Linked DNA regions of Ovis aries. The protein of the gene in region 1 interacts with the protein of each later gene in a pairwise test. Links are inferred from orthologs where the notes say so. Each region holds a gene or a part of one and is shown in the gene's direction. Other genes may lie near its edges.

Region 1 (4,334 bases):
TGCCTGAGCCATCAGCGAAGCCCCAAGTCTAAAATCCAGACTCCCCTGGAAGTGCCTCCTCGAAAGGAGGGCAGGGTCTGGGTCACAGTTTGACAGATTGGAAGGGTCGCTAGACAGGATCTCATCTGACTTCCCAAGTAAAGACTAAGACCCAGACTGGGGAAGGAAATGCCTGAGGTCACACAGCAAGTCATTTTTAGAGCTGAGGCTCTTTTCCCCATACGTCACAGCATAACATCAAGACCACACCATATATGAGGCTACTTGGGGAGTAAGGTGGGCAGGGGGCAGCCCAGAGGGCCCAAGTGGAGCAAGGGAACAGGCTGAGTCTGTTGGGTGAGTCAAGTGTCCAACGAGTCTTGCTCAGGCCAACCTTATATTCCTGCCCTGGTCCCAGCAAAGTTCTACCACCAACAGCTCTCTTTCCAAGTTCCCCACCCCTTGCCCCCAGCTGCTGTGGTCATCACCTTTCTCTCAGACAAGCTTCCTGTCTCCTGCCCTCAGTCTCCCCATCTGTAAAATGGTCTCCAGGTACTTTTCAGTGGTCCTGAAATTCTAGGCCCGCGCCTCCCACGCCTTCTTACTTTGCCAACAAAGTTCCCTCTAGTCAAGGCTATGGTTTTTTCCAGTAGTCATGAATGGATGTGAGAGTTGGATATAAAGAAACCTGAGCGTGGAAGAACTGATACTTTTGAACTATGGTGTTGGAGAGGACTCTTGAGAGTCCCTTGGTCTGCAAGGAGATCCAACCAGTCCATCCTAAAGGAAATCAGTCCTGAATATCATTGGAAAGACTGATGCTGAAGCTGAAACTCCAATACTTTGGCCACCTGATGCCAAGAACTGACTCATTAAAAAAGACCCTGATGCTGGGAAAGATTGAAGGCAGGAGGAGAAGGGGACGACAGAGGATGAGATGGTTGGATGGCATCCAACCATCAATGGACATGAGTTTCAGTAGGCTCCGGGAGTTGGTGATGGACAGGGAGGCCTGGCGTGCTGCAGTCCATGGGGTCGCAAAGAGTCAGACACCACTGAGCGATTGAACTGACTGACTGACTGACTGACTGGCTCCCGCGGCGGAGCTGCGGCTCTCGGACTCTCAGCCCCCTACCAGGTGGGAAATAAGGGATTTGGGGAGAGAGACAGAGAGGAAGGGACAGGGCGTCCTCGGCTCGGCTCGCGGCCTCGGGGGCGCCCTTTGTCTAGACAGCCTTCGGGAGCTGGGCAGAGGCGGGGCGGGGCCAGAGGGGCGGCGGGGCGGGGCGGGCCCAGGGGCGGGGCCTGATCGGCCCTCGCCCCGCCCCATCGGACGTCGGCGCGGAGCTCGCGCGGGGAGGGGAGGAGCGCGGAGTCCGCGCGCCGCCTGGCCCCGGCGGAAAGTTTTCCCTGACGGAGTTTTTGGCTGCGGCGGAGGCGGCAGCGCGGCGGCCCGGGGAGGCCATGGACGCGCTCAAGTCCGCCGGGCGGGCGCTGATCCGGAGCCCCAGCCTAGCCAAGCAGAGCTGGGGGTGCGGCGGCGGCCGGCACCGGAGTGAGTGTGTGCGCGTCCGCCGGGGGCCCGGGCTGGGGCTCGCGGCGCACGGACCTCGCCTCCTGAGGGGCCCCGGAGTGGGGAGAGAGGCAGGGCCTGACCCCGCGCCCTGTGGCCCGGGAGCGACTTTCCCCGACCCTGCGTGGTTGAGGGTCTCCGAAGGTCACGTCCCCTCTCCAGCCCCCATTCTTTTCGGCGTGGAGGAGGGGCAGGAGCTGGGGGAAGAAACGGGAGCTCGGGGTCCCCAGGTGCGGGCTGCAGGTCGGAGGAGGCGCCTTGCGCGACCCGGGCACCTCCCCTCTTTGGACAGCCAGGGGAGGCGCGAGCTCGGCGTCTGTACCCGGGAGGTGTGGGGGGGAAGGGACGTGGGGCCGGGGGGGATTTGGGAAGACACCCCCACCCCGCGCCCCTGCATTCTGGCCCGCAGTCAGCGGCCGGCGGGCGCCCGCCTCGTCCGCTTCCCCCAGTCCAACCCACGAAGTCAGCTTTTAACTCCCTTGGGCGCCCGGAAACCGACTCAGGTGCGAGCCCGGGCTTCGCCGGTACCTGCTGGAAGTTGGGGGCGGGGCTCAACCTGGGGTCTCAGGAGGTGCCTCCCACCCGCCCCGTCTAGACCCCTCTTCTGGCGGGGTTCAGGTGGCCCGGCCGGCGTCCTGGCTATGTTGGAAACCTGTTTTTATTTCTCGCACTAAGCCGCTTGAGCTTCCGAAGTCCCTAGGCCCCCGGGCGAAAGGCAGACTCTGCCGCCGCCTCTCCCAAGGGGCGTCCGGGAGTCTGCGAGGAACCTCACTGGGCTCCCCCCTCCTCTCCCTGTCTCCAGTTACTCTCAGGGAACCAACCAGTCACCTGGCACCTTCCCCCGCGAGGCCTGAGAAACCCAGCCCAGGTCCCTCCTTTTTCAGGAGGAGTGGCTTGCCTGGGGTCACGCAGCGCTTTACTGGGAGAAACAGCCAAAGTCAGGACTGCTGCACTCTCCCGCCTCCCCTGCCGACAGCCTGGGACCCGGGCCTCTTCCGCACCAGGAAGCCCGCTCTCAGTACTCTCCACCCTCTTCGGTCTTGGCCTTCCAGGGCTCCACCAGGGGAGCCCGAGTTCCCTAGGCTCAGGAGAGGCCCCGGAGTGCCAGCGTGTCTGGGCCTAGGGAGTCTGCCCTGCCCCACCTCTTGCCCCATTCTGCGGTTCCAGCGGTGCCTGCCTCCTAAACCAAGAAAGACTAGCGTTGGGAACATGGGCTGGTGCCTGCTGGCGGGACTGGGGTCAGGCCATTAGGACTGGAGGAGGCCAGGGATGCACCCATCTCCCACATTTATGGACTCCCAAAATAGCTCCTTTAAATATTTGTGGGATTTGATCAGAACTTCAGAGGATGATGGCCCGTTCCAATGGGGAAACCCTGTCGTTTTCTCTAGGGATAAGGGAGGAGCAAGGACAGGGAAGGAAACTTAGGAACACCCCCTCTTTCTTCCCCCACTCAGTATGGGGAAAGGGGAGAAGTAGCCACCTTGGGTGGCAGAAAAGAGTTTCTCCTGCCTGTTCTGATCTTGGACAAGTCACTTGTCCTTTCTGATCCTCAGTTTTCTCATCTGCAAAATCAGGATAAAAACTCTAACCTGGCAGGGATGTGGTTTGTTAGTTTGCTTTTATTTTTTAATTATTTTTATTTATTTGGCTGCCTTGGGTCTGCTGCCAGGGGGCCTACTTTGTGGCATGTGAGATCTTTCCTTGCAGTGCAGCGGGCTTCTTTCTGGTTGTGGCTTGAGGGCTCCAGAGCGTGCCGGCTCAGTAGTTGTGGCACGTGGACTTAGTCTCCCCCACCTTCCCCCCGCATGCGGGAGTCTTTACCATCTGAGCCACAAAAATTTATTTTTGGCTGCGCTGGGTCTTCATTGCTGCGAGTGGGCTTTCTTTAGTTGCGGCAAGTAGGGGCTGCTCTTGCTCGTGGTGGCCAGGCTTCTCATGGCAGCGGCTGCTCTTGTTGCTGAGCACAGCCTTCCCTCGTTGCAGCTCTTGGCTCTGGAGCACGTGGCCTCAGTTTTGGTGCATGGGCTTAGTTGCCCTGCGGCATGTGGAATCTCCCTAGACCGGGGATCGAACCTGTGTCTCCTGCCTTGGCTGGCGGATTCCTATACACTGCACCACCAGGGAAGTCCAGAAGGTATAATAGATTCTTAACCACGGAACCACCAGGGAAGTCTCTCTGGCAGAGGTGTTGAGAAGGTTGTTGACAATAACATTTTCTTCTGGCACCTAACTGGTGGTTTCCTTCTGCCCCACTCCCCCTTCCCCTACTTGTCACGTGGGCCTTCACCGTGACTCTTAATGTAGTGGGACAAGTTTGTGGGGGGCTCAGAGCCTGTCTACAACTGCGTAGAAAAGGATAGGAGAGCCCTGTTCCTCTTAGGCAGACCCCAGTAAGCCAAGAGTACCGTCCTGGAGCCTTCTGGACCTAGAATGAGCTGGGGTGAATCCCCACCTGTCCCTGGTTAAGTCAGTTTTTTGATGTGTAAGTTGTCGATAATAGTAGTACCCAGTTCGGTGTTGTTGCTGTTGTTTGATGCAGGTTAACTGAAAGCATGTTTTCCTGGCAGAAAGAGTTCAATGAATGGCAACTACTGTTTTTGTCACTCTACCTTTTAGGTAGGGTTTTTCTTCCATTATCGTGTTTGCTCCTGTGAGGTGTCAGAGCAGGGATTCTTATCAGATTCATTTTTCAGATAAAGGAACCTGAGGCTCGGGTAGTGGAGTCAGTGGCTCCAACACGGAGCTTCCAAGAGCTGGCTCCAAATCCCTAGCCCAGGGG
Region 2 (3,643 bases), on another chromosome or scaffold:
AGGATACTGGAGTGGGTTGCCATTCCCCTCTCCAGGGGATCTTGCCAACCCAGGGATCAAGTCCAGGTCCCTTGCTTTGCAGAAAGATTCTTTACCATCTGAGCCACCTGGGAAGCCCAATTATTATATATATACACTATATATACGTGTATATGTGTGTGTGTGTGTGTGTATAATTTTCTTGGCCACACCTTTTGGCACATGGGAGCTTAGTTCCTGACCAGGGATCCAACCCATGACCCCCGCATTGGGAGTGCTGAGTCTTAACCACTGGACCGCCAGGGAAGTCTTGGAAAAACTATATTTTAACAGAATTATTTCCCCTCATACCTACCTAGTACTATTATAATAGTCAGTATTTCTGAAGCTTGTTGCATGGATTGTCTTATTTAGTCATCCAGCTGCTCTGGGGTAAGGACACTAATCCTCATTTTACAGATGAGGAAACTGAGGCACAGAGAGATTAAACTTGTTCACACCTGATATACTTTCATGAGGCCTGATCACATCCATGCCTCATTTATGGCCGTAACTAAGGAATGATCTTTATTAGCTCTCTGATTGATGCTGAAATATTTTCCTCACCCCACCCCCAATCCTGCCCCCAAATTCAGCAGGAGGGTGGGTGAGGGGCAGTGTGACAAGAGAGGAGGGCAGAGGCCACCCAGGGGCAAAGAGGGGAGAGGGGAGCAAGCGTCATTGTCACCTCCTGTCTGTGCCCACCAGCCATGCACTATCCTCTGCCTCCTTTTCTAGCTCTTCCTCTTGGGGCATTGGCTGTATCCATGGCCATGAGCATGCCACTTCCCCAGGGTCCCAGGGGTGGCTGATAGGATCCAGCCCTGCCTGCAGCACTCCAGCCATTCCCCACCGCTGACCAACCTTTCACTGGGACCTTTAGCAAGGCCTTGACCCTCCCTGGTGGGCTTACCTGGTAGCTCAGATGGTAAAGAACCTGCCAGCAATGCAGGAGAACCTGGGTTAAGTCCCTGGGGCAGAAAGATCGCCTGGAGAAAGAAATGACAGCCCACTCCAGTATTCTTGCCTGGAGAATCTTACGGACAGAGGAGCCTGGCGGGCTACAGTCCATGGGGTCACAGAGTCAGACACGACTGAGCGACTAACACTGACCCTCCCTCTTTATAAAGCACAGCGATGACTCCCACCCAGCCTCGCAGGGCGTGGATGAGGACCCAGTGGGTGGGAAAGCACTGAGTAAACTGGGAACTGTGTCTGAAGGATGCTAGTTACGGGGCCGAGCAGTGTTAAGCAGATGAGGGTAGTTAGCGCCATGCTCTCCAGATGCCAGTTGTTAAAATGCTGTTCAGACTCAATGAGGGCTGCGTACAGATGTGTGCTGTTCGAGTGCAGTGCTGCACAGATCTCTAGCCTAGTAGCTTATGGATCTTTTAGTGTCTTAGCGACGTAACATGCTCCAGAGATGTTAGTTACAGCACCAGGCAGTGTTGGCTGTATCGAACAGGGCCAGGCTGATGGGTGTAACTCTAAGACACCTGGGGAAGGACAGAATCTGCAGAGATCATTGTTCAAGTGAATGCTAGCTGTTGGCCCAGCCCTTTTTCTGAAGTCTCTATCCTTGTAGCATCAGTGTGATCTGTCTGTCCCTCACCATCCCAGCCCCCTCCTGACCTGGAACTGGGGTGTTGCTGAGGCAGTGGGACCCATATGTGTTCCAGAAAACCCGCTATGAGACCTACCTGCAGCTGCTTGTGGCCCGTCTGCACTGCCCGTCAGAAGACCTGGACCTGTGGGAGGAGCAGCTGGGGAGGGAAGCTGGAGGCCTGCAGGAGCCCAAGCCCAGCCTGAAGAAGTCCCACTCCAGCCCATCGCTGCACCAGGATGAGGCCCCCACCACGGCCAAGGTCAAGCGCAACATCTCAGAGCGCAGAACCTACCGGAAGATCATCCCCAAACGGAACCGCAATCAACTGTGAAGCTGGGATCACCTCACCAACTACCCTCAGTGGCCTGGGCCTGTGGTGGATTTGGGATGAAACTCTAGGAAGAGCCTTATGTCAGCGGGTCCGTGCTGAGGATGGGGCCCCGCCTCTTCCCCATGGAAGGATACCCTAGTGCGGTCCCCCCTTCCCTCCCTCACTCTCCACACTGGAGTTCTCCTGATACTGTTGCCCCCACCCTGGCTCCTCCCAAGAGAGGACAGAGGTCAAAGACTTGACTCAGCTCCCACAGTTCATCCCATTCCACCCTCCATCCCTCCAGAAGCCATAGAGGACACCTTTCCTGGACCTGGGGAGTTGCTCAGCCCTCTGTCTGAGTGTCAGAGGCTCTGCGAGCTCCCCCATCCTCGGGGACAGAGACCAGGGCAGCAGAGACCTCGGCACAGACAGGCTAGGAAGCTGTAGCACTGGGAGCGGTCTTGCTCTAGAAATCAGGTGACTTGCTGGAAGAGGTCCTGGGAGACCCCAGCTGGGCCCTGCCCACTGCAGGGAACAGCCTTCTGGGCAGGAGCAGAGACTCGGCAAGTTCAAGGGCTCAGTGAGGCTGGCTCTGGGGCCCCCTGCCTTTGTCTGGTCTTCCCTACATCCTGCACACATAGGGGGCAGATGAGAGAGGCCCAGCCTCCCATGGCCAACGGCTGATCATCAGAGTGAAACCCACGGTGGTCAGTGAGGGCCGGAAGGGGAGGGGGCGCCCAGAGTTCAGTGGAGAGCCCTGTAACAAGGGCCTTTGCCTCCCCAGAGCAGGAAAGGAGGTGTTCCAGGTTTGGGGAGGCTAAGGGTAAGAGGTGGTGACGCATGCCGTGTCCCCTGGGGGCTCTGGAGAGTTGTGAGGGGCGGTAAAGGCCTGGCTCTGTCCCCACACACTCCTCCCCTGGAAGCTCCACGACTCACTCAGGGACCCCTTCCCTCCCCCAGCTTGCTCCCAGGGGCCCTTGCCACCCCCCTGGGAAGGCCCCTTGTGCTCCCTTTGGCTGCGTCCCAGCTGGGCTGTTCTCCGGACACTCGAGGACCCGAGGCTCTGCCTGTGGGAAGGAGGCTGGGCTGCCAAGCAGCCACCATTGTCTCTGTTCAGCCAAGTGTGAGAGCCGGCTGCCTGCCAAAAGGGGCCTCTCGCCACCCGCCTGCTGGCTGACGCACGCACGGCCTCTCCAGCCTTCCTGCCGCCCTGCCTTCTCCTTCATGCTTGTAACAAACACTGGGGCCTGCAACTCCACCAGGTGGGGCTGGCACTTGAGGGTCACCAACAAGTGTCTATCTGTCGTACCCAATGGGTGCAAAATAAATACAGGCCAGTGAAGAAGGAGGTGTGTACCAGTGAGGGGGGTTGGGAGGAGCAGGCAGCTCTGGGCAGCTGAGGCCACCTTCTAGCACCTGCCTGAGGGTGGCAGGCTGGGTTCCCTTCGCCATGTGTGTGCATGTGTGTGTCTGTGTATGTGTGTGTGTGCATGTGCACGTCTGTGAATGTGTGTGCAGCACGCTAATCGTGTGCAGGACTCACACCGGCTGTTGCAGTGGGAGGGGACCTCAGAATCATTGATTCACCCACTCATGGTTCATTCTTTCATTTCTCCAATAATATTAAGTACCTTTATGGGCCAGTACTGTGAGATTGAGGCATGAATCAAGCATGTCCCTAGCCTCCAAGAGAGGACCATCCTGTT

What was found. The genes of interacting proteins can lie anywhere in the genome.
Region 2: the proteins of LDLRAP1 (region 1) and PSD4 interact in binary tests that used the Homo sapiens proteins (3 or more experiments, as listed by UniProt). The two-hybrid records come from large-scale screens. The link is inferred for Ovis aries from reciprocal best matches to the Homo sapiens genes LDLRAP1 and PSD4.

The regions. Positions count from the first base shown.
Region 1 is NC_056055.1:241,243,302-241,247,635, reverse strand, and holds the start of LDLRAP1 (low density lipoprotein receptor adapter protein 1), read left to right. Parts: upstream 1-1,391; 5' UTR 1,392-1,443; coding exon 1,444-1,534; intron 1,535-4,334. UniProt on the Homo sapiens protein: Adapter protein (clathrin-associated sorting protein (CLASP)) required for efficient endocytosis of the LDL receptor (LDLR) in polarized cells such as hepatocytes and lymphocytes, but not in non-polarized cells (fibroblasts).
Region 2 is NC_056056.1:59,772,281-59,775,923, reverse strand, and holds part of PSD4 (PH and SEC7 domain-containing protein 4), read left to right. Parts: intron 1-1,697; coding exon 1,698-1,955; 3' UTR 1,956-3,643. UniProt on the Homo sapiens protein: Guanine nucleotide exchange factor for ARF6 and ARL14/ARF7. Through ARL14 activation, controls the movement of MHC class II-containing vesicles along the actin cytoskeleton in dendritic cells. Involved in membrane recycling.